Linked DNA regions of Drosophila melanogaster. The protein of the gene in region 1 purifies or fractionates together with the protein of each later gene. This does not show direct contact. Each region holds a gene or a part of one and is shown on either strand. Other genes may lie near its edges.

What was found.
Region 2: the proteins of CG15047 (region 1) and CG15710 purify together in Drosophila melanogaster (affinity purification with mass spectrometry, with the first as the bait; one large-scale study listed by BioGRID). This does not show direct contact.

Annotation. Positions count from the first base shown.
Region 1 is NC_004354.4:18,518,197-18,534,983, reverse strand, and holds CG15047 (uncharacterized protein), read right to left. Parts: upstream 6,302-16,787; 5' UTR 6,273-6,301; coding exon 5,748-6,272; 3' UTR 5,391-5,747; downstream 1-5,390. Other genes in the region: CG15042 (uncharacterized protein), read left to right, coding at 6,730-8,040; CG6481 (uncharacterized protein), read left to right, coding at 12,646-13,644; HisRS (Histidyl-tRNA synthetase), read right to left, coding at 14,786-14,995, 15,049-15,669, 15,731-16,159.
Region 2 is NT_033778.4:16,346,245-16,362,694, reverse strand, and holds CG15710 (uncharacterized protein), read left to right. Parts: upstream 1-14,167; 5' UTR 14,168-14,228; coding exon 14,229-15,026; 3' UTR 15,027-15,081; downstream 15,082-16,450. Other genes in the region: CG6262 (uncharacterized protein), read right to left, coding at 1-984, 1,172-2,452, 2,541-2,724, 2,793-2,842; CG30098 (uncharacterized protein), read left to right, coding at 7,480-7,681, 7,744-7,789, 7,847-8,001, 8,066-8,457; wcd (wicked), read left to right, coding at 15,300-16,450.

The DNA.
Region 1 (16,787 bases):
ACACCTGCCACACACACGTACGCACACGAACACGCACCACACACACGCACGCACACTCGACTCAATTAGTTAGCTCATAAATTTGCATATTTCGCACTTGTTTAGCTGTTGCTGCTGCCGTTGCTGTTGTTGCTGCTGTTGTTTCTCTTCTACCTTTTTGTGGCATGTACACAGGAAAAAAAATGAACAGTGTTCCGTGACTTTGTTATGATTTCGCTAACTTTTGCGTTTCGCTACGTCGTCGTCGTCTTGTTCTTCTTCTTCTGTTTATCGCACGCGCGCACTCACAACCGCCAGCGCCGAAGTTGAATTTTCGAATGTCGTTAATTTTCGAATGCCGCATGAATGAAGTCGAAGTCGACGTCGACAGCACGAGCTCTCTCTCGCCTGGCTTTTCCTTCTATCCGAATGAAACCGGCTTTTTATTTTGAAACGCGAGGGTTGTTTCCGCTCTCTCTCTCTCGCACTCGCTCTCGCTCTCCGGCGTTGGGGCTGCTTTTTGGGGCCCTGCGCTGCTATTGGACGCCGCTCCTGGCCGCCGACCGCCTATCACACAGGTGCGGCCGAGGGTTGCTCTGTTAAGGCACTGTTATTAGCATGCGGCCCACCTGCGTAGGCGCACCTGTGCCCCTTTGTAGGTGGAGCTTCGCTGCCGCAAGCCGGATAGTTTCCTCTTCCTTCTTGTGACATTCAGCCATTTCGGCCCCATTCTGGCGATTTGTACATTATATCACCCACCAGCCAGCGATGCAACCCTTTTGTACCGTTACTAATTCCCACACCGAAAAAAATATACTGAGCTATAGGTGGAAAATAGTGTTTTGTAGACAAGTTCTGATAGGATAGCGAAACAAAATCCTAAACCATAAAGACTTTAGGTTAAATTACTTATCCATCTTTGAAATGAATCAAATGAATGAATGACAATGATACCTTCTAAAAAATGTATAAATTGATATCATCAATTGCAAAATACTCCCTGACACACAAAGGAAATAGTTGGAGGTGATGAAAACTAGAATTTGGAAGTCAGCACAATTGAACATCGTTTTATTAAATCATCTTCTGGATGTCAAGCTGTTTTCTTTTTTTTTTTGTTTTTTTTTTGCCGTGCAGGAAGAATAATAACCGCACAATGAATTAACTGCATAAATGATCCGCCAAACTACCCCATCTCTCGGGGAGAAACAGGAGCGTCTCTACTGGTGGCACCACTCTGAACTCCACGGGCGGCCGCGTTACGATGGACAGGGGTGCCGGGGTGCAGGCATTATTCATACATAAAAAGCCAATTAAAAATTTATAATAAACCCCGCGCCAAACTGCTGCAACAACCCCAAAAGAAGCAGGCCGAAAATAAAAAGAATTAAATATGGCACAGGCAGGCACAGTGGGACAAATCGGAAGGCATAGATATGAGTGGGGTGATCTATTAGATATTTCACATATTTAATTTGTTCAGATAAAAAAAGGGGTTTATATAATACCAGCAATGCTTTTTCAACGTATTACACCTTTAAAACTCACATTAACTCCTTTTTTTTAACTTAAAAAGTATTCTCTAAATATTGAAATACTTTCTTTTAAGCGATGTTTCAATCTTCTCAATGAAAGTGCCATGAGGTGAGATGCCCACTGTGCGGCCCCACTGTGCGGCCCACTGTGCCTAGTTTCCAGCATGTGGAAACGATGACCAGTGGGGATGGGGGTCATTTCAATTCAATGAATGGAATTGGGGGAGTGGCACACGCACCTAGCGCCAAATTAGATGTAAAATAATGAACATTTCAATTAAAATAATTAATATTATGCTGCAGCCGCAGTGGGCGGAGCGGGGTGGCAAGGACGCACTAAGCACTCAATTAACCATTTTAATGTTTATGGATCAGGTTAGCCTGAAGGATGCTCTCTTGGCAAGGGAGATGCTGCTGGAGATGTTGTGCTGTGCTTTTTAATTATAATTAAACATGCGAGCAATCGAGTGGTGAGGGGGGCGGGGGCAGTGGGTGGTGGATGGCGAGTGGGTGGTGGTTGAATGGGCAGCTTCCAGCTCGAATGGCTTCGCTCTTTCTGCCTAGGACATAATCACTTAGCCGCGTGCAGAGCCGCATTTAAAATTAATTCTGCTCAAGTGCGTTTCTTGGCAAGAGACACACACACACACACACACACACACAGAGAGACAAATACAACAAAAAAAGCACGTGGCACACGTGAGAGAGGTGGCGGGTGGGTTTTGCAGGACGGCAGTGAGCTGCCCCCATTTACCGTTGGTTCACATTCGCAAGCGAAACAAATTGCACGCTAATTGCTCATGTTCAATTAAAAGCAACGGCCCAAGCAAACTCCAAACGAAACCCGACTTCAGTCCCACCCCAAAAATTTCACCTAAGCTCTGCTCCCAGAGCCAGTGATGTGCACCGCCCGAAAGTGGCTGAAAAAGGTTAATAAACATTGGTAATGTTTTATATCACAAACCTTTAAACGTCATTTGATCATTAGTCATGCTAATTATAGAAGATTCTTTGTGGAAAGCACAATAGTTCGGGGTCACCAAGGCAGTAGCTTGGTTAAATAATTTTGTTTTTTCAACAGCGCACTCTTTTAAAACGTATAGTTTTCCATCAAAATCTAATAAAAGATAAATCCTATTTTTAGAAATATTGAAATCGGGATAGCAGAACACAACAATGTGTCAGTGTTCGGGATCACCAAAACCGAACTCGAGTATTTCATCTATTTTTAGTTTCTGTGTTATCTGGTTTCCTATATAGAGAAAGTTGATTTTACCCATCAAGAAGTTAAATAACGATCTATAGAACTCTGCTATAAACCAAGATCCCAAGTTAAAAAGGCTAACCAAGCACCTGGTCAACTCAGCTGGCGCTGCTCATCCTTGTTGGCCTCGGAATTTGGAACACACGAGTTTCGTGCCCATGGACCCATTGAACGCTTTCCCACAAGCATTCGAATGATGGCCAGGGGGGGGTGAGTGGCTGGGTGGTGGAATGGATGCAGTGAACGGATGGTGAATGGGTGGCAGGGCAGGGCTTTTTGTTTTGGTTTTGATCCTTTGCGCAAATAATTGCCTAATTGTCTCTGGTTCGCTCGCTCGCCATTGTTGGCCCATGGAAATGCGAGTGGGTAGAGGGGGGGGGGGGGGTGGAAACGGCAACGCATATTTCTTACGCAAATCCATTTCCATCTATTAATTGGCAGCCCTCGGCAGCTGCTCCTTCAGCCGCAGGACTATCATCGGTCCTTTTTTACACAATTAAGCGCTTGGGCAAATAAAAAGTGAGCCAACCGGGCTGGCACTTCAATTTGAACTGCGGTTCGGTTTGCATACATACGGGCATCTATTGTATGTACATACATACACATGCATATACATATGTATATGTATATCTATCTCTATATCTGTATCTATAACCGTGTCCATATATCCTGTGGCAGGACTCTCGGTTGCGGTTATCGATTGCCGCAAAGTAGGCTTCTTCCCCCCAGGCCTTCTTCGTTTGTCATCGTCATTTGCGGGCTCATTTGCATTGGAAATTGCCTTAACAATCCGTTTAAATATGATCGACTTATAAACGAGGTCTTGCCTCGTTGCTACCAGTTTTTGCCATCTTTTATGTATTGTCGTATGTGGCCAATTACCGGATCGAAACCCATCCCTTCGCTGCCTTTTGGCACATTTCGCACGCTTCTTGGGTTCGCGGCAAATTGTTATTGCAATTATTATTGCTCGCTTGTTGTCAACATATTGATAATGCCCCGCCCCTTCATACCCGACCCGCCTCCCGAACTGTACATATATGCAAACGAAGTTAACAAGCGGCAAAGGTAATGGTCGACGGACAACCAGGCCTGATTGCATGCCATTGTCAGCGACGTCATCGGCGGTATCGAATTACGGATTTCTCCACATCTAATTTACGGGCCGTGACAATTGCCTTTTAAAGTCCAGCGAACCCGAACCGAACCGAACTCGAAACGCACGGGTAGCAAAAACCCCGATCGAATCGGTTCTTATCGAAGGTGCTGAAATACTCGTAGGGTTCGGAAAACGTTACCTTATCGGGTTCACGCTGTGAAAGGTCAATGGTCAATGTACATGTATGTATATGCCTGAGAATTTGAGTTACAATGGATCAAATGAGAGATCCTATGTGAAAGACTTGCCTTGCGATGTTCTAAGCTTGGGAAAACCATCTCTTAAAGGCATCAAAATGATTGCACTACCAGAGTATCCACGTAGTGACGAAGAGCACCAGCAGAGTTCTATTTTTGATATCCCAAAGGCAGCTTGAGTGCTTCTTATGTGTCCAGATAAATAGCTATAAGAATAGTTACTTAACTAAGCATTATTCTGACTGGCATAATTCATCATTCATTCATTCGTCGTTAATATAAAAGAAAAAAAAAAACAAAATAGAGCACGCAGAACACAGATTTCTTTTCAATATATTGCCATACTTTTTCGCTGTGCAATCTGCAATCTGACTTAACCCGCGCAATCTTAACCCCAGACAGCCCAAAAAGAGCGGCGACAGTTGGCTGCCCTTGATAAATGAGACGGCGCCGCTTACGCCTCGAGTTCCGATTGTGGAGCAGCAGTCACCGGAGCGGAGCACCGGAGTATATTCAGGAATTGGACGACGGACGACGGACGACGGACGTCCAGGGGTTGACGCCTTCTGTAGTTTGCGGTGCGCCGCAACGCCGATCAAACGCGATAAACGCTGGGTGGGTTACGTGGCTGCGGCTGACAGTGTCAACGGTTGCAAGTCAAAATTAATTAGAATTTTTCAACTGCGAAATACCCCCCTCTACCCCTTGCCCAAGGCAATCCAAGGGATGCACTATATGTACTCCAATCTACGCCAAAGAACTGGTGAGCAAAGGCGGTAAATTGAAATCAGTACAAAACGCTGGAGTAGAAAAAATAAAAGAGCGATCATTAATCATCGGGCCGAAAAGGGTTGACAAGCTGCGCATTGCTATTGCCACAGGGTTGCTGTTGCTGTTGCTTTCAGTTCCGGCTTCTTCCGCTCCTTGACCGGAGTCATATCCGCCAAAACAACAACAAAGTGCTCGGGGGAAAATTGGCCTGGGTGGCCCTAATGCATTTAATGTCTCCCGATGGCTGGGGTTGAACCCAAACATTTTAGGGACCAGCACATCAGGTAACATCCTCGTCCTCGAACTGCCCTGATTCCCCATATACTGCTCTTAATTGACAATAATAATGTTACAAAAATAATGGTACTTATTTCTAACTGTTAGGTTCTTTAAAAAATTCTATAGTTTGCCTATTTATTATGGAAAAAATTAGATTAGGAGTTCCAAAAAGAAGTTTTCCAAAAGTAACAACGACGATTCATCTTCACTAACAGCTTAGCAATATATTTAATGCAAATATTCACGAAATTCCACAATTGAAAATAAACTAAAATATAAGTATACTTTTAAATTGATGACACTTTTTAGATATGAAAACAAAATTAACAAAATTAACATGGAAATCTTCGTTAGACTTCATGGTGGATTAATATCAACATTAATTACTCTGATATACACTTACTATAAAGTTAAGGGCATTTTTTAAACATAATAGCAAACTAAAAACGTAACTATGAAGAACTTGTTTTAACTTAACAGTAGACTTGAAAACTAAACTTCTCATATATCTATACCTTAACTTATAAGATGTAAGCAGTACTAACTAGTATCTGGTTTCCCTTTCAGTTGCTAGGCGAAGAGTCATCGGCAGATGAGGATGACTGCTCCTGGCTGGTTTCAAGCTCCTGCTCCTCCGGCTGCTCGTTCTCGGACTCATCCACTTCCTCGGACAGTAGCAGTTCCATGGCCTGCACACTGCTGCCGTTCACCAACTCGGCGAGCGTCTGTGCGATCCTCTGATCGCGCATCATCTCGATGATGGCTTCATCCGTGGCAAGTGGATTCCCCATGAGGGAGCTGCGCAGTTGCCTTAATCGCTTGCGATTGCCACGCCTTTTGCGCGTCTCGCCGTCATCCATTCCCTCCACCAAGATCTGCACCGCCCGCTGCACGTTGTTGTTACTCTGGGCCAGCGCCAAGCGAGCCTCGCCCTCCGGATAGCCCATGTCCATGACCACCTTCACCATGAGCTCCGTTTCGTTGGCATCGGCTGCCACGGCCACCGAAGCGGCTGCTTGAGGAGATCCTGCTCCTGCTGCAGCCGTTTCTGGCGGAGATTTCAGATGCAATTGCTCAACTTGCGACATTTCCGCAGCTCAACTTTGGCGTCACTATCGATATCTAGCCAAAATCAGCTGATCCCCTCTTTAACCCCTCTCATTTGGTTTCGAACCCAGAAAGCTAATTTAACTGTTGTGTGGCCGAATTTTAGGTAAATCCTTAAGTACGGTCCTACTTTTCAGTACAGTGCGGAACAAGGACACATGCTGATTGCTAATAAAAGTAAAGCTTACTAAACTGACACTTATTTGTAGTGCCATTGCATAATCAGCAACATGAATCATTTACGTACAATTAAGTATATGGTGAAATCTAACAATTTTTATTCACTTCACAAAATAAAGTACATTTAGTTCCAAACAAGAATTTTGATATTATTTGAGATATTTTGATAAGAAGTGCTACCCTGATACTGTCTTCCATTTTGACAAGGCAATATGTAGTTTAAATTATTCCCTGAAATTATAAGCACATCTGTATAAAATGGAAGGAGGCACTTTCAATCTGATGAAAACAGAATCCATTCCCAGCTGCCTGCTTCAGCCCATCCGGGCGGTCCCCAAGTGCGTCAACTCAAAGGAGATCCTAAGCAGTTTGGCGCGGAATCCGCGAAAGAGCCGCCTATATCCTCCCCATGGCGGTCACATGCGGTCCGTTGTGGGAACCTTCTACAAGATCACGGACCAAATCGGTGAAATTGCGATAGGCACCAAGTTAACCGGCACCGTGCTGCTCGAGAGCCTGCCGGTCTTCTACGTGACCATCAATGGACCGGGCTCCAAGCTTTTGAAATGTCTAGCCATGGGGCAGGTGCAACTGCAGGAACTGGAGCAGCTGCCCGACTATGGCGAAATCTTTGCATTCTACGACAAGGCCGAGAATCGCATCTCTCGCATCGCCATTAATGCCCCCGTTCACCCCATGGGCTACTGTGCCTATATGATCGACGCTGCCAAATATACCAACATGTCCGGCATGGAGCGCATCTTCGCGCTGCCGGATGATCTCAAGAAGCTGCCGGCGCTAACGATCAAATGCCGCCTGGTCAATGTGGCCCAGATGCATATATTTATTACCCAAAATGTTAGACTGCGCGTCCTCGGCAGTAATGGCCTTGAACTGTTGGTGGCCCTGATCAGGAATAGGACCAACATTCGGAAGATTCCATCCGCACAACTACCACCAATTTCGGGCGATGAGTACGGAAATATGGATGCAAACGATCGGGAAGTGGCCAAATCTTTTGCACGATATAGACCCAAGCGTCGCGAACGTGGTAGCATTGTACGCGTCCATGTCACCAGGATCGTTAGCCATGCCGAATTCTACGCCCGATTCGCTGATGGACCAACAGTGCCCACGTGGAGCAAGAGTGTTATGAAAAGGGGCACAGGTGATTTTCGCGTCTGGGACATCGTTCTGGCCCCATATCAGGGGCGATATCATCGCGCCAAAATCGTTGACATATTTCGCTGCCGTTACCGTGTCTACTTTCTGGACTTCGGCATCACCGAGTATACAAGCAAGAAAAATCTAACATTTTGCTATGAGCTGGAGAAAGCCCAGCACAATCTGGCCTTTAGATTTGAAATATTGGGAACACGCCGTCAGTGTCCCATACCTTACATAAACATCCTAGAGGGCATAAAGCATCTGGAGCACACAGTACTACGAAGCGATATCAATGTTCGCATCCATAACATTTTGAAAGACGGTGGATATGTGATTCGTTTAATGAAACATATTCACGAGTGCCATATGATTCACTTGTTTGACGATTATTATTCGAATTGATGTATTTGAAAACAATAAGAATGTATTTCATAAGACATTCCATTTGAAATGCATTAAAGACGAACATTTCTGAGAAACAGCCAAATGTATTTCATAGTTATATTATACTATTCGATCGCCAGCTGATTTTGACCATGTCGATGGAACATGGAACTGGGCCGAGTGTGTGTGTATCCCTGCGGTACAAATTCCGAGCAAAAGGCAATAAGCCAAAAACACAATTACAAGAGCATAAACAGAAGATTTCGGTTCGGGTCCCACATCTGCCGCCTCCTGCCAACTTGGACTTCTATTTATGCGTTGCACAATTTTAAATAATCACCCCGTTGGGAAATTCGGGGCGAAATACCCTTTCGTGACGCCCCCTTTTCCATGGACTTTCTGTTACTTGTGTGTGTTATTTACCCTGATTTATTGCCATTTTCTTTCGGTCGCTGTTGCGCCTTTTTGGTCACTCTTTTTGTTTAAAGATGGGGGCGCTGCTTCCAAAAAGGGGTAGCGTTGGGCGGTCAGGAACAAGTGGCCCGTAAAAAACATTGCCAAACCCTCATCTATCACAATTTTCTTACATTTTTGGGTTTAAAAACGCATTATTTGGCTCTTTTGGTAATTGAAGTTTTTAGTTTTCATTAGCCGCTCTCCGGACAGGGGCCACAAAAATAGGAAAAACAATGGGAAAATCCGGGGTGGTGGCGACATGGGATGACATTTTCCAGAGTCGAGATAAATAGCACCTTTAAATTAACCCATTAACGAGTGGGACACAAATAGCGATATGGATGAGCAGGGTTTTTCAACAAGAAACTGTGAGTATTATAATGAATTTTTTAATTTTTATAGATATATAATAATATATTTTAGCAGGTAATACTTGGAATTAGAGTTCCTAGTTTGATTATTATGGCCATAAATTGGATGGATTCTGGAGCATGCTTAAATGTTTAAAATAATATAAGTTCAATTCTACCAGCAACTTTAAAACATTCCCATGTTAATAGTATTTTCACACACTAATATCCTTGATACTGTGAAGAATACTTAGGGGTTAGAAGGGAAATCACAAGTTTTTAAGTTCCTCAAGCATTTCCAATCCCTCGCTGCCACAATTTACTGTAAGTCGATACATTTGTGCCACTGCCACTTCATCCGTTTTTAAACCGGAAATAAAAAGTTTCATCCGCAGTGAAAGGCGCTTGAAATATGTGTGAAACGTGTGTGCCAAGTACTCAGTACTCAGTACTCAGACCAGTTACCCAGCACCCAGTATTTGGAACTGCGAACTCTGTTCAGTGCCCAAGGAATCCGATACTTATCGGGTGTCGACGTCGCCATCGAATTTGGATTGTTCGGTTCGATCCTACAACAAATGGCGAATCACTTAACACACCGTTAACACCCACATTAGTTGTACTCCGGCGCACGTGAGGATGGGGGCAGGGGCAATCGCCTGGCTGCGTTCCACTTACAGTCGGAGTTTCAATTACTTTTCGACGAGCCACCACCGAAATGATTATATGCCAAGGAAGCCGGCGTCTCATAATCGAATTAAATGCATTGCCATTGCCATTGCCACAGTTGGTCGGGGTTGGCATAACCCGGCCGGAGTCGAAAAAGTCATTAAAAACGCAGGCCAAACGATTGCACGCAAATTTGCTGGTCCCGCTCGCTGTCTTTGTTCCTGGTTCGAGTCCACCGCCCCCCCGCCCAACCAGCAGTTGCTAGTGGTTCAGCACAGCAGCGGGCAGCAGACGAGCAGCCGATCAATTTAGTAGTTTAATTGGCTTGTCATAAAATCGTTAGGAAGGTAACTGATTCATTTATGAATATGCATTTCATATTATTTGACTAGATTTTAAGAATCTCGACTTAGGGAGCTTTAAGATAAAGTTAAATTTTAAAAAATTTTGCTTGATGTTGAAACTTATTCAAGGTAATATTAAGTTTCTAATATTATATTGAGAAGATTGAGAGTCACCGCACTAAATACCATTTAAGTGTAAAGTTTCCGACGTACTTAAGGTATAGTACTTATTTCGATGCTAGTTTTATGCCCGCCATCGTACTCATCACCCGTTTGTTGGCACACATGAGCTGGCCGAACTATGAATGGAATTGGCAATGGAATCGCACGTGGCGATTCTCTGGTCACCCGCGATAAGCAACTGCCGTCGCGTGGCTCCGTTGCCCGGATTCTGCCCCCGACCCACCCGGATCGCTCCGGAGCAGAGATACTATCGATGAATGGACGGATGAATGAGGTGAGCGAGTGAGTGAGTGAGTGAGTGCGCGTCGTGTATTTATGACTCTGAATCCGATTCCGATGCCGAGCCAGATTCATTTCCATCGGGCGATAATCGTTATTAATATTATTAGTGTTTGTTCGCAGGACATACATACATAGATATATGTATGTATGACAAGCAAGACACCCTGTAGTGCCAATCCTTTGGATTGTGATTGGTCCTGGGAACTGCCAAAATAAAAGGTGACCAATGAATTCTTTAGAAAGTCTATCCACTAACGCCTGTTTCATTTTTTTTTATGAGCTTGATTTGGAAAACTAAAGCTCAGATGGATTGTATCTATCTGCAAGGAAACTGAGGAAGGAACTCCCCCAGGGATCTCAGGATATAAAAGACATAAGCCTTAACTCGAATCTAAGCTGAATTTATTGGTTCATTCTGGCATTAATACATTAATATTTGACCTTAAACTGACCGAGGGAAATAAGTATGCATGTGTATGTATGTACATATGTACTCCCACATGCATTGGAAATTACCCGCTAAGCATAAATATTCATACGAGTTAACTTCGTGATCGGCTGGACTGGAAAATGGCAGTCGAGCTTAGCAAATCACAAATTTATGACCCAATCCATCAATGACAATGCGACGGCGACGGGCGACTTTAAAAGGGACCTTCCCTCGCACCACCGAACCCAATTATACCGCACCACACCACACCACACCAAACCAAACCACCGCACCACTCTAATCGCTTCCCACGATCGCCGCGGTGCAGCTAGCATTTCCATATGTAAAGTTGCGCCTTCATTAATCCGTAAATTAGAAGCATTGAATGATATCAGTCGCCCTCTGAAGTGCACCCTCTTCCCAGTTCCACTCGGAATTCCCGTTGCCCAATGCCCAATGCCAATCCCAATCCCAGTCCCCTAAAACAAATCACTGCACACGGGGTTCGAGCCGAGCTACCAAGGGCAGCTACCTCGAAATCCTAGCCCAACACAGTCCACTGCAATCCCACCACCGTGCTGAACAGTGGGACAATATGTATTTGCTATAGATAAATAGCTATAGATATAGATAAAGTGTGTCAGTTGTGCGGGTATTATTCGAAAAATAAAAATTCATTTAATATCAACAGGGTGTTAGAGCATTTAATTTATTTTATTAATAAAAATATTTATAGCTGTAATAAATATAATAAACATTACATATGATATATGCAAAAATATATATTCAAATATATAATTATAAGTAATAAGCACTGAAATAAACACAAAATTTTATATATCAATATATGTACGCGTATAAACCTTCTAAAAATATTTGGTAAATATAATAATAAATTGAGCAAAAAAAGAAATGTGCATGTGTGTTGAATTTAGTTAAATATTTTTACGTTTTTTATAAACAAAATTTAAATTAAAATTAAATGTGGGAGGGCATGGTCATCGGGCGATAATGGAGCCATTCGAGCACACTGTGCGACCCCTGGCAACCTTCAACTTCATCGCAGTGACATGTCAACGGCAGCAGCAGAGACACCGACAACAGCAAAAACAACAACAAAGGCCGTGGAGAGCAACAACAAATTGTTGGACAATCGTTGAAATGAAATGAAATGAAATTTCATATTAAAACAGTATTAGCTGGCGGAGATCTCTGTGGCGGCGCCTGTCAGAATCAGTGCGCGCCGCTACATTGCGTTGGGTCATTTGAATGAGGAGCGGCGATTCCACCCCACTTTCCACTTCCGCCCTCCGCAGAAATGAACCCGCAACGCCGCCGAATCCCCCCCTGAAACAGCCACCCCTGGCACCTTGCCATCAAATTGGACGCACTGAAGCATGAGAAATGCGGGGACAGCCTCAATCAGGACTCAGTTCGAGTGTAAAAACGAGGCGATGAGCAGCCGCGAACCGCTTGACATTTCTCTGCTGTGCATAATTAAATTAAGAGATGCCAAATGCGGTACACAGTGCGAAAATGTGAATGCTTATGGTAGAAGAAAATACCAAGTGGATATACGGTTATTGGTATTCTTGCACTCTGAAATGTTATGATGCAATGATTATTGTTATTTTGTTATTTTGTTATATATATAAATAACAATTTCTTTTTAACATGCAAAAATTGTAATTTTTGTGTTTCAAAATCATTTTCCATGGCCTTCTTTGCGCTCAGTGTAAATTATGGGATCATGCTGCTGGGACATTCCTGCCAAACTGTTTCACTTTCAGTTAAAGCCTTATGCTTACCTTTCACAACTTCGTACACAGAACAAACGAGTAACATTTAACATTTTAACAAACATTAAAAAAAAAAAAACCAAATTTCTTCGAATCGCCTTGAACACAAGATGACCAAGTACTTCAACACGCACATCCTACAATCGCTGGTGGGCCAGCTGTCCGCCGAGCATCGGGATCGTTATCTGAACCGGAGCACGGCGGGCCGCTACGTTCTGTATGCCTCCTCCGATCCTTGCAAGGAACTTCATCCCCGGACCGTGAAGAGGAGTTTACGGAATCTGTTTGCAACGAATGCGACGCCGCATGAATGCGTCGTGAGAATCCGTGAGGAAAAGTTCTTGTATCCGAAGCTGGATTGCCTCAAGATGACGGCGAAGCCGTTGGGCTTGAAGAGTGCTATCGAAAATATGTTGAAATCGGAGGAAAGATTCCTCAGGATGGGCACAAATTCCGAATCCTCAACGAGTATCATCAATCTGGATGAACGGGCAAGGGGCGGCCTCAACGCCTCCTATGATCCCAATATGTTAATTGGGGAGAGTAGTAGTAACATAAAAGTTCTCCATCATAACCCCACTTTCTTTAGCCATTCCTGCACCTTCGGGACAGAAAATCGTCTCAGAAGTTGCATGGATTCTCTCCATGCACAGATACTTAAGAAGTTTGAGGAGAAGCAAGTGGATGTTGATGAGCCAAGCTCCGCGATGAACCAGATGTCGATGCAGGAGGCGAGTTCCGAGGTTAGCTCAGAGGAGAACGATATTCCGGAACAGCTGATCCATCTGATCAATTCCTTGAATAATCGATGGAATGAGATCCGCCGACATGAGGAACCGAGCGAAATCTACGTTAACGTTTTTGAATTATTATGGAATGCCTTGAGCTACTGCATGCAAATCGTTCGTCGATTCTTTTTCAACAGGAGGGAGGAGCCAGGACAAGGGTCAATTCGATCCTATATGGACCGGGCACACTATGCTTCCTTTATTCTGGGACCAGCCACTGATGAGTGCATAGCGATCCTAGCGGATCGCATCGTTACCATAATCAAGTGGGCAATGAATAAGGAGCTGCAACCTTCTGAGATTGCAGACGAGCCGCAGTAGATGCTATTTTCGCGGTGGCTGTGCGGCAGTGGAATTTCCCCTCCCCAAAACCTGCGAGCCGAAGACGGAAACGGAGCAGCAGCTGGGGAATGCATCAAACATTTACTGCCCCTCCACCAGTCGCTCTTTAAAACGTTTGAGTACCTCCGGGATATCGTGTTGCTCTCGACTCTCTGTACCCGATAACCCCGAGAAGGAGCCATCAGTGTTAATTCGATGTGCGTTCAATCCTTGTAGCCAAAATTTTAAGTAAAGGAATATAATATAGCTTCTGGGTTTTTTAATCGACGACTGACTAACCTTGAAACCCACTGGTTCCATGGCGGGCGTGACGAGGGCGGCGGGATTAAGCTCGATGTTGATGTTGTTGGGCTCCATGATGAGCCCCAGGCTCTGAAGATTGCACACCTCCGGCAGCTGTAGGGTGGGCGTGGGCACCTTGAGCACCGCCACGGTGCAGTCGATGCTCGACGCCGTCACCGTCGCAGTGGCGGGCAGCGTCTCCGGCATGCTGGCCACCGCTTCAGACGGCACCGACCTCTGCTCCTCGGCGCTGCTCCTCCGCCTCCCGATCCCTATGCTGACACCGATCTTGACTGGGTTGGTGCTCCGCGTCGCAAATCTGCAAGATAGTTGACATTCATTAGATTTTAAGACTTGTAGACTGCATTTCACTTTCATTCGGAACGGAATGCTAATTGGATCAAAACTTATTACGCAAAAGCCTAAAAGTATAGAAAAAAAAAGTGGCATGTGTTGGTGGGTATTATGGGATTATGGAGCATACTTTCAGGCAACGAAACAATGCCCACATATCAAACTTGCATGATAAAGTCGTGCACATATTGAACAAATATTGAACCGAAACCCGAGAAAAACAATTGGTTCCGGCTTAAATGCGAGTCGCTTCTGCGTTTATTTGTTTCTTTTTAGTGTTCATTTTGGTATAAGTTGTCCGCACTTATTCCTATGGTTACACTGTAGACCTAAGCATAGTAGCACGCGGCGCCTCCGGCCAGGACACCAAGAATACAAAACGTACAAATAGGAAAAAAAAATTCATATACTTCGATGCTGGATGGTTCATAAATTAGGAGCGGGAGCGTTTAAGTGTCGCTAATATCAGTGTCGTGAAAAGAGCCTAGGCGGAGGCTTGCTGCCGTCGCCGGATCTCGGCGGCCAGATCCTCAAGCTTTACGTTGGTCTCCTCGCGCGTGGTCACCTCACGCAGTTTGACCAATCCCTGCGCCAGCTCTGCGTCGCCGAGGACAACCACCAGAGGAATCTGGTGCTCCTCGCAGTGCTGCAGCTGTACTAACAGCTTAGGGTTCAGCTTGTAAGAGTGCTCCGCCTGCGAGGATTTTAAGATTATTATGCAGTCTCCTGGATTCAACTCAAACATACCTTCACGCCCGCATCCCACAGCAGGTTCAGAACCTTCAGACGCTGCTCGTGGAGACCCTTGTGGGCGGAGGCCACGTAAACCTCCACGTCGCTGGTTCGCAACTTCAGACCGCTTGCAGCCGCCCGCGCCTCCAGAACCGAGAAAATGCGCTCCACGCCAATAGACACGCCCACGCAGGGCACAGCCTTGCCGCGCGGATCGAACATGCCCACCAGGTTGTCGTAGCGACCGCCTCCAGCCACGGATCCCACGGTGGCCGGCTCGTTCGCCTGCTCTCCGTTCTGCTGTGATGTCTTCGCCGGAGATGCCACGGTGGCGGACTCTCCCTTGAGCACACCTTCGTAGATAACACCGGTGTAGTAGTCCAGGCCACGGGCCAGACTCAAATCGAAGCTAACTCGCTTATCCAGACCGAATATGGAACAGTACTTAAGGAGCTGCTTCATGCCCTCCAGACCCTTTACGGCATTTGGCACAGCCTTGAGCTTCTCGTTGGCCAGCAGTTGTTCCACCAGCTCGGCACCGCCGCTCAGTCGCACGTACTCGCCAATTCGATCCGCTGCTGCCTCGTCCAGACCCTTCTCATCCACCATCTCCTTGCGCACATCCGCCCAGGGCGACTGGAATAACCGATACATTACAATATTGACCACAATTGCAGTTAGCAGCGTTTGTGCTCACCTTATCCAACTTATCCACCGCTGAGCAGATGGTGCGGAAGCTATCCGCCGGCACTCCGCACGCCTGGAACATGCCGTCCAAAAGCTGGCGGTGATTTAGCTTTATCACATAGTCTCCAATGTCCAGCGTGTCCAGTATCTCCGACACAATCTTGACGCACTCGGCATCCGGCAGCATGGGATCGTAGGTGCCGGCGATGTCGAAGTCACATTGGTAGAACTCCCGATAGCGACCCTTGGTCATTGCCGGATTGTCGCGTCGATAGACCTTGGCGATGTGGTAGCGCTTGATGCTCGAGATCTTGTTCATCGCCAGGTAACGAGCCAGCGGCACGGTCAAGTCATACCTCATCGATAGGATCTCACCGCCCTGATCCTTCAAGTCGTAGATCAGCTTTGAGTCCTCGCCGTACTTGCCCGTCAGCACTTCCTGTGGTGATGGATAATAGAAAAATAAGTCGAATATCTAGACACATGACATGAAATGTGTAAGGATTTATACCACAATACCATACAATTTTTACTTGTGGTTTCTGCTTAAATACCTAATTAACTACTTTTATACCAAAATTAATGATGGCGAGCCATTAAAATTATGTTACTTTAGTCTTTATAGTATATGTTTCCAATTGAATACTAGAGATTTAGAAACAAAGCTGTGTATACTAAGTGCTAGCAAATTGTAGGCTTCTGTGGCTTTATCACTTAACTTGGGCGCAGCTCAGTGCTATCACAATTATATATATATAAATCATTCAAGACCCTATCAATATAAATAATTTATTGTTAATAACAAAATGAAGCAAGGTCATTTTTGTTGATTCTGAGATTATAATATTAAAGTACCGAATAAGCTACCAGAAACTAATTGGGAATTGATGACACCATATCCTGCATTTTTACCTTGTACCTGTTTTTGGAAACCACTTCAATCTATAATATCCCTCTTTTAAATTGGACATTTCATGAATTGTAGAGTTTAAGTTAATAATAGACCCATAATAAAGCCTAATTAGTTAGACATTTCAAATTTAAGTTAGTGAATCCATTAGTATAGA
Region 2 (16,450 bases), on another chromosome or scaffold:
GGGGTCCTTGTCGGCCACTGGAAAATAGTGTCCAGTTAGCGCGTCGTGCCGATCCTCATCCTCGTCATCCTGGCAACCACAGCCTCCATTGGACTTCTTCAGATGCTGGGAGCAGTCCTGCGTCTGTGGCTTGGTGGTGCAATCCTGTTGCTGTTCAGATTGGAGCTGTTGCTGCTGCTTCTGGTGCTCCTGTTGCTGCTGCTGCTGCTGCCGCATGCAGTCCTGTTGCTTTTGCTGCTGTTCCATCTGCTGCTTCTGTCGTTCGTCCATGGAGCACTCGCAGTCGGGATCGGTATCCGGCACTTGCCCTTGAACGACAATTAGTCCTGCTCCTTTTTGCTGTGGTCCGGCACATGGACAATCTGGATCGTGCTGTATCCCCAGGGTTCTCTGCTGTTGCGATTGAGATTGCTGTAGTGCTTCTTTCCTAGAGCATGTACACTGGTCGTCGTCTACTTTTTGCTGAGATCTCTGCATTTGAGCTTGTGATGGCTGCTGTTTCTGGGAGCCACATATTCCACAACTCGGCGCATCCTTTGGCTGCAATTGCTGCTGGGACTTTTCCTTCGCTCCTGCGCCACATGAGCATTTGCCATCCTCTCCTGGTTGCGTCTGTGACCGTTGTTTCTGGGCAATGCCACAGGAGCAAGGAGGCTGTGTCTGCTGAGCAAAGTCACTGGTTGCAGTTGTGGCAGTCGACTTGTGCGACATGGTTCCCACCATTGAAGGAGCGCCACACACGCACCGTTTCTTGGATGGCTGATCGTCCATATTGGCCTCACTGGTAATGATGTACTGGTATTTTCCGGATGGCTTTGATCCTCTGGATTTGCTCTTGCTACCCTCGTCGCTGGTGTCGGCCAAGCTTATCTCCTTGCCGTACTTGCAGAGGAACTCGATGATCACGCCGTTTGTCCAGCCGTAACCCAGCGGAGTGTTTTCCGGCGAAGATCCTCCAGATGTGCCGAAGTCCTCGCAGTAGTACTGCAATAAGGTGGTAAAAATCGGATTAGGAAACTGCCATGTTAGTGCGAAATATTTTTTAAGGCCGATTGCTCACTGTCAGGTATTAGAACCTGTATGACAATCTAGTAAAAGTTAAACTTGATGCTTGAGGTCCTAAAATACATTATATAAAACACAACGATACCACGGATATATAGTAACTTACCTTCTCGAACATGAAGCTCTCGTACTTGTATGCCGCATAGTTGGACTTCACCCATCGATGAGCCCATCGCTTGGACATGGCTTTTGCCGGCGGAGTGCCCAGATTCTCAAGTCCCTCGATGATCAGGAACATCATGGGCGGAAAGACATTGGGGTGATCCCAATTCTGGCCCGACTCCTTATTCATCGTGTACGGCACACCACCATACTGCGCATCCAAATCATTGGTCTTGATGTACTGCATCACCCCCTTGGACACCTTCTCAGTGTCCACCAAGGGAAAGGCCCTGGCCCACAGCGGAGCAAAGTTGGTGCAGCAGAAGTAGTTGCGTGGCTTGTTGTTCACCAGATCGTAGTCCAGCCAAATGCCGGCTTGGGCATTCCATAAATTATCCCGAATGGCTTTTACTAGGACACATGCTCTATCCTGATACTCATCGGCTTTTTTCGTATTGCCCGCTTTGCGATTAAACTCGGCCAGGATCTTGCCACTCCGGAAAACAATGCAGTTCAGCTCCACGGGCACAATGGCAGATGTTTTGATGTCTCGAAAGGATCCTTTATTGGAACCATCGACGGTCACATACCAGCGTGAACTGAAGTTCGTACCCGATTCAGCAGCCGACTTGAGTTCGGTGTACATAACCTCTCGGACCACAGGACTCTTGATGCTTGCCACACACTCCAGATCTTCTCGATAGGCCTCGGGCCTGGGTCCTGCCGAGGAATCCCGATACTGATACATGGTCCTGCCCTTCACCTGCACCGAGTGCTTGCTGATGAAGGTATCGTATTCGGTTTCCAGCAGCGGCAAAGCTTCAATGGCGTACTGCTCGTCCTTGGTCACCTCCACATATGCCTTTACCATCATGATCAAGAGTGGAGGGTTCGATCGACCCGAGCAGTATATCCGGCCACAACCAGGCACAAAGCCGTACTGCTGAACCAATTCCAAATAGTTATCGATCATGCCCCGGGCTGTTTGATGCATGCCACATTGCAGCAAGCCGCGAATGATCCAAAACGATTCCCAGTAGCGGTACTCGCGGCAATTTGAGGAGGGAACAATGAAAGGATTCGGTACGTAGATAATGGAATACTGATCGGGGTTCTCCTTGACTTCATCCTTAATCCGCCGCCCCAACTCCTTCCAAAGTCCATTGACATCCGAACCGAACTGCTTTATTTCCGGGTCAGAGATCCTGGCAAGAAACGAAGGCTGTGCTTTCCAATCCGGCGGTGTCCAGTGTTCCAGCTCCGAGCCAGGATCATTGAAGTGCTTCTGCAGTAAGAAAATATTTCTAAAATTATACCTACTTTATAGTGAAATTTCTTTGGGTTTTTCTTAGAGTTTTTTTTTCACATTTTACCTCGACAAACATTTGCAGGAACCTTAGAGATCCATCGTTTCTGCGGCAATTGGTGAACATATCGAAGTCGGCCAAAGTTTGGGCAGGTGTAAAAATGCAGCTCATGTCCACAAAGTGTTTGCAGTCGGGAAACATTTTCGATCTCTGGACAGCATCCAGCAAGGGACCCTCGCAGAAAACACCTCTATCTCAGGCGGAATATAACCAATCAGTCGGAACTTCAAGTTCGAGGACCTTTCTTCCACGACTCACCTGTTTTCTCCGCCCAGGACCTCTGCACCGCAGCGGCACTTATTCGCCATCTTCAACGAGTTGTTGCCTTTTTTGTATAGCGAAGTTCAGGCTGAGTGACTGATAACCGGTCCAAATTCGGGTTTCAGCCTAGATGTGAATCCCAGGCGACTGGGTTTTTTGGGGCATAAATCAAAAAACCGAGCAGCAGCAGCCTCTGTTATATTGACCATTAAAGCAAATTTGTCGACATTTGCCATTAAGAGTCAACAATGCTCGGCCATAAATCAGCGTAAATAGACAGGAAGCGCCTGCGAATCCTCAGCACTCCTTCCAGGGCCACACATTTATTTTAAATTACCATAAATGCCCCTGACCGAAAACGAAACCAAAACAAGAGCAGCGTGGCGAACTTTGCCTAAAAGCTATTGGCCCCTGTGTCCATTTGTAATTTCCAGACAATTTATCAAACCAGCAAAAGCAGTGAAAGCAGCAAAGGAACAGCAAAAGCAAGGGGATGCCAAGTGCCGAAGGCCAGAAGTCGGAATGGAAATGGCGCAGAAAATGCGCTTCAAGTGGCCATGGCCATGACCATCGACTGGATGGATAGATGGAATGGAAAGCCGGGGGTGGCGGCGAGTTCAAATAAAGTAAAAATTCTTCGATTCGTGTACAATCAAATTGGGATGGTGGAAAATGGGATAGTGGACAATCAGCCGCGGGACGGATACTTCATAAATTTCTTCGACCGATCCACTTTAATGCAAGTTTTTGGCATCGGCATCTGTGTGGAAACTTCTTCAAGTACGAGAATTCGAAGGAGTACGGAAATTAGCCTTGTCGCAATCGCATTCTCTGTCGTCTGCAAAGTTTCAATTGAATTTTCGTCCGGCATAAAAATGCAGCAACTTGAACTTTTCGCCGTGTACGAGAAGCGATCATCAACCAAGTAATTAATTTTGCATATGTGAAAGTGCAGCCAAAGAGGATGGGCATGGATGGAAGTCCTGACACTTGTCGCTACCCCTTGACCCCTCGGGAATGTGATCAACTTAACGAGGTGCCGCCAGTGAGGAGTCATGGAGCCAGTGCACCGATAAAAAAGTTAATAAACCTAACAGCACGATTAATTCCAAGTAATATTTTAACAATACTTAAGCAGAGGAGAGGTTATAAGAAGCTCCCAAATGCAATCCATTCTCTTCAAGAACACAAGCTACTGATATTCAATTGCCTATAATGAGCATCTTCTTTTTCGCTCAGTGTAGCTGCACGCTTATCATCATCGTCATCCGCATTCGCAGCTAATTGAGTATTCTTCCCTTAAGTGGACACAGCCGCCGCTGGCGCCTTTCAGCCTCATTTGCAGGCACGCACATAAATCAATAAGTTGCATTCGGCCTTAAATTAATTAAAAGGAAAATTCGCAAAGAGCAGTTGGTGTAGTTTTCCGAGTTTACTTTACTTCCGGCTGGCAAATACAGTTGCAGTCTGTGCTTAAACACTCCGCCATCTGACAGCAATCAATCAAAAATTTCACTGGCCTTAGCGCGACGGGTGGCGCCGGATGTATCACGTCCCAGCACCACACAACCAGCAACCACCCACTGACCACCCAGCGCCCCCCACTTCCAACTTCGAAGGAGCAGGAGCAGGAGCATGATAAATTGTCAACACGCTGACGTTTGTCTGCAGCGATTTAAAAACTACTTAAAATGTAAATGTTGTTTCCCTGTTGCTCTGCTGCTGTGTTTGGGTTTTATGCACACGTCGCGCAGCGTAGACTGCGAAAATCATGTTGTTGACTTTGAAAAAATATGTGTAAAAATGCGCTATTGTAAATAACAGGAGCATAAGCCCCCGGGGTGAGCCAGAATGCGGATAGGGGCGCCCGGCGAAGTGCCTCCAACTTGACTGACTGTCTGAGCGAGAGTGATGACATGGCAATGTCAACGTTAGCTGGGGCAGCAACATCGGTGGCAACATTCGTTCGCTGCCACGAACCACGCATATAGCGACTCCATGAAGATGCCACGCCTCTGTGATTGCATTTTTACACTTGTCATGGCGATTTGGACCTGTGTTGCCTTTGCTTTGTCAGCTCTAGTGTTTGCAGCTTACACTGTGCAACACACAAGCAGCAGCCGCAGCAACATCCTGCTGTCTCCTGCTTCGCTTCCACTTTGGGACTGCTGCCACCCAAATAAGTTATAAATTCAGCTGTCAAGTATTTTGACAATTGATTAATTGAAATCGACTTGGAAAGTTACTACAGTTGATAAGCAGGCGCATACACACTCGCATTCGCCCGCCGCCGAAGGAAACGGAAGTGGGCTGTCAATCACTCCGCTCATCCCGCAGCCAGCAACAACCATGGATCATTTGTTGATGAGCTAAACTTTGACCCGGTCAGAGATCAAACAAAAGGGGCTAGGGACTACGGGGCAAGCCGCAGACGCTCAAATTAAGCAAGAGTCTAGTTAAACAGGAAAGTTTTGCACCACACCACCCACGATAGACATCTCCGGCTGCCCTTCGAGTTGACAACCTAAATTGTTAGTTGGCTGATAAGCCGCCAGTCGACTGCCGACTGCCCCGCCCCCCATTCGCCGGAGTGGGCGTATATAACATTTTTATTTATATCACTATTTTTTATTTACTGGGTCGGGGGGTGGAACCAAAACCGAACGGAACACGCGCCACATGCCAACGACAAACAAATAAATAAAATTCCTCTTTCGGTATGAATGCCACCCCGCCGCTGTAACCAACGTTTTTTTTTTTTTTCGAGGGGTCAACACTGAAGAGAAGTGTGTGTGTTTTACAAGTCTATTAACTTGTGGCGCTTATCTAATGCTGACAGCAAGTTTTTCACTTTGCCAAAGTTTTGCCCCGGAAAACGCAACTTCCCCTTCGGTTGCGGGGAGTGGGAAAATTGTGGGAGGGACTGGAGGAGTTTCGGGGCAGCTCCGATGTCAATAATTTGTTGATCATTTTTCTTTTTAGCCCATGCATAATATATGGCCGGCATTTGTAGATGACCACAAACATCTCTTCACTGCACTGCGCGGAAAATTATCGAAGAAACATTTGGATAAGGATATTAAAAGATAGAAAACAAATTTTGAAATTTTCACATAAAATTTTTTTTTTCAAAATGTAACAATATAACTACAAATTCTATTTACTTCAAGTCTTTTTAAGCTTAATCCTATTTATAAACACCACGCGCGTATTTTTCTTTGTAGACAACTTAGAAACCTCTATTCTCCAGCGGCGAAAGGAAAAGTGCCAGACTGTCGGAGGTAAACTTTTGCTTGGGAAAACTCTTGATTTCCTTGGCCATAAGGACAGGGAATTGGTCAAGCTAGTGGCTGCTTCATTAAATGCGACGCCAAAAAGTTGCATCCGTGGAGCTGTTGGAAATATTTATGAACTGTTCGACTGCTGCCGGTGGCATATATATACTATATGGTATGCGCAGTGAAGCATGGTTCTGGCCAAGTTCGAGTGTCACACCCCACCTGGCCACCTTTTTTCAATAAACGTTAAGCATTACGGTTATTAGTTTCTGGACGGGCACATAAAAACTTCAAGTCGAGTCGAGAGGAGTCACCAGACACGAGACTCTGTTGCCCGGCGAACGGGGACAACAACTTTGTGTTGCTTCTTTGCCGATGCTATCGACTTATGCTGTTGCTGTTGCAGTTGCCACTCTGTAGCAGCAACATGTTGCAGATGGCGATAGGGGCTGCGTTGACTAGTTGACTATGCTGCCATTCTGGAAATGGCTGAATGGGACCTATGGAAATTACGGAAACCGTGATACTTCCAAGTGCATTACATGCAAAGTCCTTGCGGCAGTGACAACAGCAGCAGGAGCAGCAGTTGCAACAGCAGTACAACAGCAACTTATTAACGCGCAATCTGAGCTCTGCAATTGACCGCAATGGAATGGGGCGGGGTGCTCTTTGGGGGCCAGTAGAGGATTCTGAAGCAGCGGCGATGACGGCCACGACGACAGACGGAAGCGGAAACGGCAAATAAACGCACGAGCGCTGACGTGCGGGCACCAGCGTGTCAGCGTCCGTGTCTTTGTGTTGCCGCTGCATGTACGTGTGTGTGTATTTGCTGCACTTGTTTGCATGCAACGTGGCAACATGGCAACGACAATGGCAGGAACAACAGCAACAACAGCAAAAGCAACAGCAGCAGCAGCAGCAACGGGCATTTATCTGGCTGCCCAGACCTGCCACGCCCCTCGTAATACATTGCGGTCGGGATGTTGCATGTTTGTGGGCGCTCGCCTGCGTTTGTATTTTTTTAATACCCATGCATTTATAAGCTGTAGGGCATGCCCTTTTTATAAATGCTGAAATTTAAAAAGTAAATAGAAAACTTATCAATCATCTGATAACATTTTGTTACTCATTGGGTTATTATTAGAAAGCAATAGAGCTCATATTTACTGTACTTTAATTAAATATATTATTCACTTTAATCAACTTTTGTTTCAATTTAAAAACAAGGCCTCCCTTATCAACGTACTGTTTGTAAATAAAAGTTCTTAGAAAATCGTGATATTTCTGTTCTTCTGTATGTAAATTTTTCTGCATAATCGCTTTTACTGCACTTTTTGAGCTTCTGACTTTTCGTTGTAATAAATCTTACAAAGGGAATTCAGTTTTGCTCCGCTGTTTCAATTGAGATGACGCCTGCAATCGTTCTGCTGACTTTTTTAGTAATCCTAACCCTGGGATCTTATGGATATTCGCAGCTATTGGATTCAAAATGCATTGCATTGTTTCGAATAAGAGTAATTGGTGGTCAGAATGCTCGAAGGACTCCATGGATGGCTTACTTGATACGAGATAACAGATTCGCATGTGGCGGCTCACTGATTGCCTACCGTTCGTACTTGCAACTGCAACTAATTAAGTATTATAGTTTATAACGTTTTTATTTATTTCAGGCTTTGTTCTAACCGCTGCCCATTGTACGAAAATCAACGACAACTTGCAAGTTCTTAACATTCTTGCCCTGACTTTCTGTTTACTTTTATTGTTTTATTGCAGATTTGTTAGATTGGGTGAATACGATTCGTCGAGGACAACGGATGGACAGACTAGAAGCTACAGAGTTGTTTCAATATATCGTCATAAAAACTATATAGATTTTCGAAACCATGATATTGCTGTGCTCAAACTGGATCGCCAAGTCGTCTACGATGGTAACTCAGTGCATTTCTATACATATTAACCCATATCTATACTCAATCTATACTTAATTTACAGCTTATATACGACCAATTTGCATTCTTTTAAATTCCGGCTTGCAGTCCCTTGCAAACAGCATACAGAATTTTACTTTAACTGGCTGGGGTCAGATGGCCCACTATTACAAGATGCCAACTACACTGCAGGAAATGTCCCTGCGCCGTGTTAGAAATGAGTATTGCGGTGTTCCGAGTCTTTCCATATGTTGCTGGAATCCCGTGCAGTACGCCTGCTTTGGAGATTCAGGCGGTCCATTGGGGTCACTTGTGAAATACGGACATAAAACCATATATGTTCAGTTTGGAGTAACCAACTCCGTGACGGGCAATTGTGATGGCTACAGCTCATATTTGGATCTCATGAGCTATATGCCCTGGCTTTACCAAACCTTGTTAAGAAACTGGGTCTAAATAGATCTTAACTGAAAGTTGAGTGTGTGTTCATTTCTATTTTTAGTGGGTAGTGCGCAGTCTATAGGACATTTTACTGATTTTATTGGAATTTTCCCCGGGCGCCATCGTTCGCATGCACGGCAAGGATTTCTCTGCTTAATTTGTGGTTTTCAACCAAACAGAGAAACGATGGTAGCAATGGACGTTGGACATTGGACATTGGACGTTGGCAGATGGCGGAAAAGTGGCGGACGAGTCCACAGCTAACCAACTGTTCAACAGCAATTGCAATTGCAATTGAGGTTGCAGTCGCACGAATGTTCCAGGAAACCCTTAAATATGATTATGGCATACGAAAGGCCTACGAGCAGAGAGTCACTTTTCATGGTGGCGCTGATTTTTTCTGTTGGCCATCTTCGCTGGAATCTTTGCGGCACACGTTCGGTTGCTTTTTGCCCAAAAGATTTCCACGAACTGGATTTAATTGTCACACATTACGGAACCACAATTACATAGAAAAATGCGCCAGCCAGCCAGCGGAAATGGCAACAATGCAAATGCAGCCACTGCAGCAAATAATAACCACCGACTGTGGCCAGCAAGGACCTTCGCCTCCTATCCTCTTCCACCCCTCAAATAAAATGCGCCATTTGCAATTGTAGTTTATTTTAATACCGCAATTAGTGTTGTTCTCCGGGCGGAGTGGTGGAGTGCTGGAGTATTTGTGGTTCGGTGGTTTGAGCACGCAATTGTTGGAAAGGTTGGAATATCCTGGCGGATCCTGCCACGTTGCCATGTTGCCACACCATTTGAGGTGGCCGCATAAATATATATGTATGTATATATGATGATACAAGGTATGCAAAGTTTTTCCGGTATAAATGTACGATTACCAGTCTTTTTGCACTAACGCAATTGAAAAGCTGTCCATTTGGAAGCTCGGCCATTTGGAATTATTTGTGCCGCAGCCGCTGTTAATTGATTTTTAAGTGCCAACTGCAATCAGGTACTTCGATATGCATCAGGTGACACATGCAGGCTCAAATTATTTTCATCCAGCCTCGGAAAAAAGCGTTAATGTAATCAGCGAAGAAAAAAATGTTTGCAGAATACCCTTTTTAAGCAAAAACGAGATGAAAAACCTTGACGTTTAGCAAATGAAACCACTTCGGTTTTAATCTCCATTAAACATTAACTTTTCAGTAATATTGTAGCATTTTATGCAAACTAGAAGTTTTAATCATGATATGAAAAATCTTCCTAAGTTCACTAATACATCTGTTAACTATGATTTTCTTGTGTTTTTTGTTAAATTACAAAGTTGGCCTAAAATGAATAATTAATTTTCAGTGGTATATACATAACCCTTTGATATCTCTTAGGATTTTGAAGCACTCCATAACATCAGACAATATCAATCCGATTGAAAGTTAATTGCTCACCTCGCTGATCCCCTCGATTGGTTTTTCCTTCTCTTTTTTTCTGTTCTATGTGCAACGGGTGTAATCACATTTTATGTTGAACGCACTTAATTTTTTGCTCCAACTAAATGCCAATTAAAATGCGTAATTATTTTTTAATGGCATTTTGTGGTCAATATCGGACGATTGACGATGATTGCACAGCGGTGGATCTGCGGAGTTGTGGAACTCCACTCCGATGACGGGATGCCGTCGTGACAATTCACATTTATGACGAGCAAATGGCCAGTATCCATATCAATTGCATGACTTGTCAAAGCGGCGCCCGCCTAAAAGAAAAGTGCCTCACATGGGATCGCATGTGTGCGTGTGTGTGTTTGTGTGTGTGTGTGTGGTGGGGGTGGGTTAAAATCGCCAGCAATTGCAGTTCAAGCAAGGAATCGCAATAAGGACTCCGATGTCCTGCAGCCATGTTTCCCTGGCAAATGAAATTCGAGCAATCATCGCCATCAACATTTCGCTTTACTTCAAAAGGGACACGGCGGCAACATGCCGCAAGTGACAATCATTTATATTTAATAAACAACTAACGCATGCAGGACACACAGCAGCGGCCAAGTAAATAGCACTCAAGGCGTGAATGTGGTTTTCCTGGTTTTTAGTCCTTGAACAAGTTCAAATGAAGTTCAATGCTTTATATATAAAAATTGAATAAATATGGCACATTCATAAATAATACCACTTGAAAAAATTATATTTGTATTTTCAATATATTTCTTTCCCAATATGCTTTGTATTTTTATGAATACTACTTGAAATTACAAAATAAAGGTGGCAATTAGTGAATTGTAAGGCACTTATTATTTTCCTTTGTTTTTGAGCTAAATAAATTCCAATTCCAATTGCTTGCCAGTTGCTGTAAGACCTACGATTGGTGGGGGCGGGAAAGTGGGGAAAAGCCGTTCGGAAAAACAACAGCAAGATGACGAGACTAAGCGGCCATTGTCTCCGCCCCCCTTCGAACCCCGCCCCCTTTGCAATGGAAATTGTTTACCATGCATTTTGTTCGATTCCGAGTCGAGGCGTCTGAATAATGCAGCAGGTAGTATACGCTGATGGAAAAGCGGAAAAGCGGGCGTGGAAAATGGGGGGGCGGTCAAGTAAATAAGCGAGCATGAAAGCGAAGACGAAAACAAAATGGGGCAGATAAAAACAACAACAACAACAACAACGCCAAAAGGACAACAATGCTGCAGACACAAAACCGCTTCGAATCGCTTTGGGCGGCATTCAAATTGAATATTGAAAGCATCGAGCACAAAACTGCCAAACGCTTGAATTATGCATTAATGATGTCTGCCACACTGGACAATATAGTGAAGGGGTGGCGGGGGAGTAAAGGGGGCAAGGATTGAGGGGCGTTTGCAGGATACAAGGGGTTTTTTTTTTTTGAAGCCAGGGACAAGAACAACGGCAATGCGTCGTCCTCGTCGACTGACCATCGCTTATTAATTTTTTATGCGTCTGCTATTTTTATGGTCGACATGAAAGCGTTGGCCACAAGCCTTTTATTTTCCTGACCATTTTCGGCTAGCTTTCAATAGTTTTTCACCGAAATTTCCATTTCAACCAGACGCGAGTTTGCGTTGAAAAAGTTACTAAAACTTATCCTACATAGGAGATTTTATTAGAAGAGATACTACCTTTTAAAGTCAAACGCTTAGAATAATTTATAAGGCTGATTATTTATTCCTGGCTTTTTAAAATAATTTAAAGATAAAGATTTCCAGCTTCATTGATATAGAAATGTCAAAAAAGTTCTATAGCACACGACAGTCATACATTTATTTAACCAATTAAAGCGATTCGAAATGGCATGGTGTTTAAGTGCTATTGCCATGTCGCGCACTGTCAATACAATGTCAATATGCATTGTTCGCTAATGTATCGCCAACAAAGTTTTACGCTTTTTGTCGCCAGATTTTCCCTTTGGCTTAATTCCGTTTGAACGACGAACGTTGCGTTGGACAGGATTTTGTCCTGCAAATAAAACGCGCCCTTGACAATGGCCGTCAATATGCCGATATCGGTGGACAGAAAGACGTTAATTACCAACATTACCGCGCGCCCAATTATCAACCGCACAAATCAGCGGTGATGTAGGTACGGGTAACCTGATGCACCGTGTGCGGGGCAATGGAAAACTCATTACATGCCACAGGAGCCATCATCCGTGATTCGAAAGATAGCACATAGGTGGAGCGATGGAGCACAGGGGCAGGTGGCCAGGCGCCACGCCCACAAGGAGCGACCGCAACATGCTGTAATGCGTGGCTCTATCAGCATTTGCATGTGCAGCTGGAGCTGGAGCTAAATGCGCCCGATACTTAAAGCCAACTAAAGGCCATATGTTAGCCTACACTGCCAAAGGACAAACTTAATGTCAACACGCTAATCTGTCAGTCGGCAGGAGTTGCAGCGCAGGATGCGAGATGCAGGGCGCGGAATGGGGGATACTGGCATGGCGGGGAGTTGGGAGTGCGACTGCAAAGGATCTGCCACAATGTCAGGCCACTTAAGGAGCGCTGAATCGCAGCGCCTCGCTGCACAGGAACTCAAGGATATTGGAAGTGGGCGGAAAATGGGCGGGGAACACTCCCAGAAAATGCAGCGATTCTTAGACAAACTTCAATCCTTGGAACTTGATTAGCTATTATTACTTAAGGCAAACGATTAAAAAAGCTTCTGCGTAAAGGATTAGTAGAAAGATATAAAAGAATCCCATATTCTGTTAATCTGAAATCAACAGATTCTGAAATGAAAAATATTCATATTTCAGATAGCTTACTTCAAAATAACTAAAAAGAATAGCCTAAATGGTTTAAAAAGCATATAATACATTCAAGAATAGTGTATGCTTTTTAAATAATTCACAATCTTTTGAGGAAATACCAACAACCCAACTTCGCGCTGCTTAAAATTAATGATAAGTATGTTTAATATTTATAGAAAATTATTTGCTAGTGTATCGCCGCCTGGATGGCGCAACAATAATGCTGGACCCTTTGAAATGACAAAAATTGGTTGCTCTCCGTGCGGCTTGACGCCTGACTTGGCAGGAGACACTCGAGGGCACCACAAATGCCAAGCCGTCACCCACCCAGGCACCCAACTAAACACCCACTGCTCCTACAAGCAACGTCCTCCCCCCGCGAAGGACGCGTCTTATCAACTATGCAGGGCTTTGTCTCTAAGCGATTGCAGGCGCCACCCCCCCTTTCCCTTCCAACCTGCCCCTGCCCCCTTTTGCTCCACGCAGTCAGCGTCTTTTGTTGCGCTTAATGAATTTTACGTAAATTTTACGAGCGCTGATTTCTGGCAGCAGCAGCACCACCCCAGCTATTAATCCACACTTTGGCGAGAGCACCACCCCCAGTGGATGGGTAAATTAGTGGGTGGTTGGGTGGTTAGTGGGTGGATGAGACTGGTGCTCTCCTGGTTGTGCGTGTGTAATGACAAGTTCAACAACAACTCGACATTGTCGACTGGTGACGAGGACGACGTGCTCCGACATTTGTTTGCCCAAGTTATGCAAATATTTTTCCAGTCAAGAAGTTTTTGTTTAATTGCATATTTTGACTCGCATTACGCGTGTCATAAAGCAGGGATCCGGAGCTTACCACAATGCCAGAAGTTGGGCGGGGATTAGAGGCACTCGAAAGACATGTTCCTGCATTTTACAGTTCAAAGACCAAACTAAACAATCAGTTTTACGAGTATAGATCTTATTCTGCCCAGGCTTGCCATTGAACTATAGCTATCTTCCTTAGAAATTAATTTAAATTAAATTTATATTTAAGTCTCTAAGATGATATTTTAAAAATAATTCCTAACACAGACGAAATCATGGAGAAGCCTTTAATATGGTTCATAAAACATAATTTATTTGCTGCGTTCGAAACTGTGAAGCTGACCTACTTCATTTAAAAACGAAATTAAACCGAATATATATAGTATGTATACTTCTGCTTTAGACAGTAAAAATGCATGAAGATTGTTTGCTTAATTGGTTAAACTAAATGATGGCTAAATATATTACCACCTCATTTATGGTAATCCGAATAAAACGTTTAATTTTTTTTTGGAGGAAAGCGTTGGATTCGAATTTCATTGCCTGGACAAATTTAAAAAGTTTACATTTTTGAGGCATACCTATCGCGTATACGCTTTCTTTCTTTTCCAGCCCTGACAGTTTCCGAGTATCGAGTATCGAGTATTACTTTCTATCTTTCAATGACAATGACCGGCGACTTTCTCACTTTCTTCGTACGCTTCTTACTGGCGAAACACAAGAGCCCACAAAGGATTATGACAAGTGCTGGCAACTGGATTTCCGAGGAGCTGGAACCAGCTACTCTACTGTCGATTCAGGAGGATAATGGTATTGTTACCAAGGTGTACGTGGCGCCCTGTTTGCAGCCGATAAAAGAGGAGAAAGTTTTCCTGGAGGACAACACGCAACGCTTCCACTGTCCGCTTTGCTCTAATGTGATTCGCACGGCCGGTGCCTACAAGGTCCATCTGATGGCCTGCCAAAGACGCTTGGCACGCATGATGAAGGATGTGCCGGACGTGTCCCAGCATCAGTGCAACATTTGCAAGAAAATCTTCTCCTCGGTGGATGCCCTGATCGGCCACAGGCTCCTGCATGGAAGCCCATCAATGAATCGCACCTGTGCATCCTGCCATGTCAAGTTCGGGACGGATCTGGAGTATCGCACCCATTTGGAGAGCCATCTGATACCGTGCGAGTCCACGGATGAATCCTACGAAGGGGCGTACACCATCACCAAGACCTTCAATTGCGTCTTTTGTCGCACGGAGTTCAAGGCCTGCTTTAAGCCTGGCCAAGTGACCCGTCGATACGCGTGCGACGCATGTATCGTAAGGCTGAAGGCCCAGGAGGAGGAGAAAAAGATCTTAGGGAAGAGAAGGCCCGAATTAATCTGTGATCGTTGTGGGAAAAAGTACAAATATGAGGGTTTCCTTCACCGTCATCTGAAAACTTGCCAGATGCCGGATAAATGCAAAAGAAAGCGTGAGATTGAAATCACCGAGGTCAGCGAGGTAACATTTACAGAAGTTGTGCAAAGTTTTAATAATTGATTATACAAATTCGCACATTTTAATTTTAAATTAAATAAATATATTTTTTAATTGTAATATTTTTTATAATTTTCAAATTATGGCGCCCATCCCACCGATATCTATTTCGATCTGCTATCGATGTGGTCACACTTATCGATAAATCCACCGTGGCGTGGTATTTTTGATTTAAAGCGTTAGTCGATTTCCCGCCCAGCTGCACGTGTATATTTTTTTGCGGTCCAAAGAAAAGTTCGTAAATAAACGAATTTGCGTGCATTTCCAGCGAACACGATGAGTTCAGACGAGTCCAGCGACGGTTTGGAGGAGCTGCAGAGTCTGAAGGCCCTCTACGGCCAGCAGGAGCAAGAGAAACCGGCAAAGATCAAAAGGGAACGTTATATTCCAAAGGCCTCGCAGGCCAAGGAGCTCAACTATGTGGAGGTGCCCATGGAAAAGGTGCTCTTCGGCGACAGGCAGCGACTGCTCACCAATCTAGCCAAGTCCGTGGGACAAAAGTTGCCGAACGATGACGAAGACGAGCAGGAGGAAAATCCCGGCCAGGCAAAGCCAGGCGACAAGCGGAAAGCCGCCTGGTCGGATTCCGATGACGAGGACCTGCAGGTGGGCGATGTCAAGAAGGCCACAAAGCACACGGGTCCACTGAACCACCTGCGCAAGGATAAATCGTACAAGGAGTATCTTACGGCGCGATTCCAGCGCACGCTTAACCAACCCAAGTGGGCGGAAAAGAAGGTCAAAAATGAGGACGACGAGGACGTATCCTCCGACGAAGAACTGCTGCGGACGGTTGGCTTTATCGATCGTAAAGCCCGGAACAGTGATCTGCCCCAGAAGACTCTGAATTTTAAACGGGTCAAAGACCTGAACAGGGCCACATATGCCGAGGGTAATGCCACCAGCATTCAGTTTCATCCAACCAGTACTGCTGCTCTAGTGGCGGGCATGAATGGCCTAGCCACCATCTACGCCGTGGATGGGCAAAAGAACGAAAGGTTGCACAACATGCGCTTCAAGAAGTTCCCGCTGGCGTGCTCCAGAATTGCTCCATGCGGCACAAGGGCGTTCTTTGGTTCTGTGAAACCATTCTACTACTCCTACGACTTGCTGGAAGCCAAGGAATCGAAGCTAAAGCTGCCGGGCGCAATGGAATTTATGCACCGCTTTGAGGTGTCTCCATGTGGCAAATTTATCGTCACTGCTGGCAAGTTTGGAGCCATTCACCTGCTCACGGCCAAAACAAATGAGCTGCTGCACAGCTTCAAGCAGGAGGGCAAAGTGAAGGGATTCACATGGTCTAGTGACTCCAAGAGGATCCTCGTCTGCGGTTCCACTTCCAATGTCAGCGTGCTGAACCTGCGCCAGAACCTCATCGAGCACATCTTCATGGACGACGGCTGTATACATGGAGAGTCCATTCAACT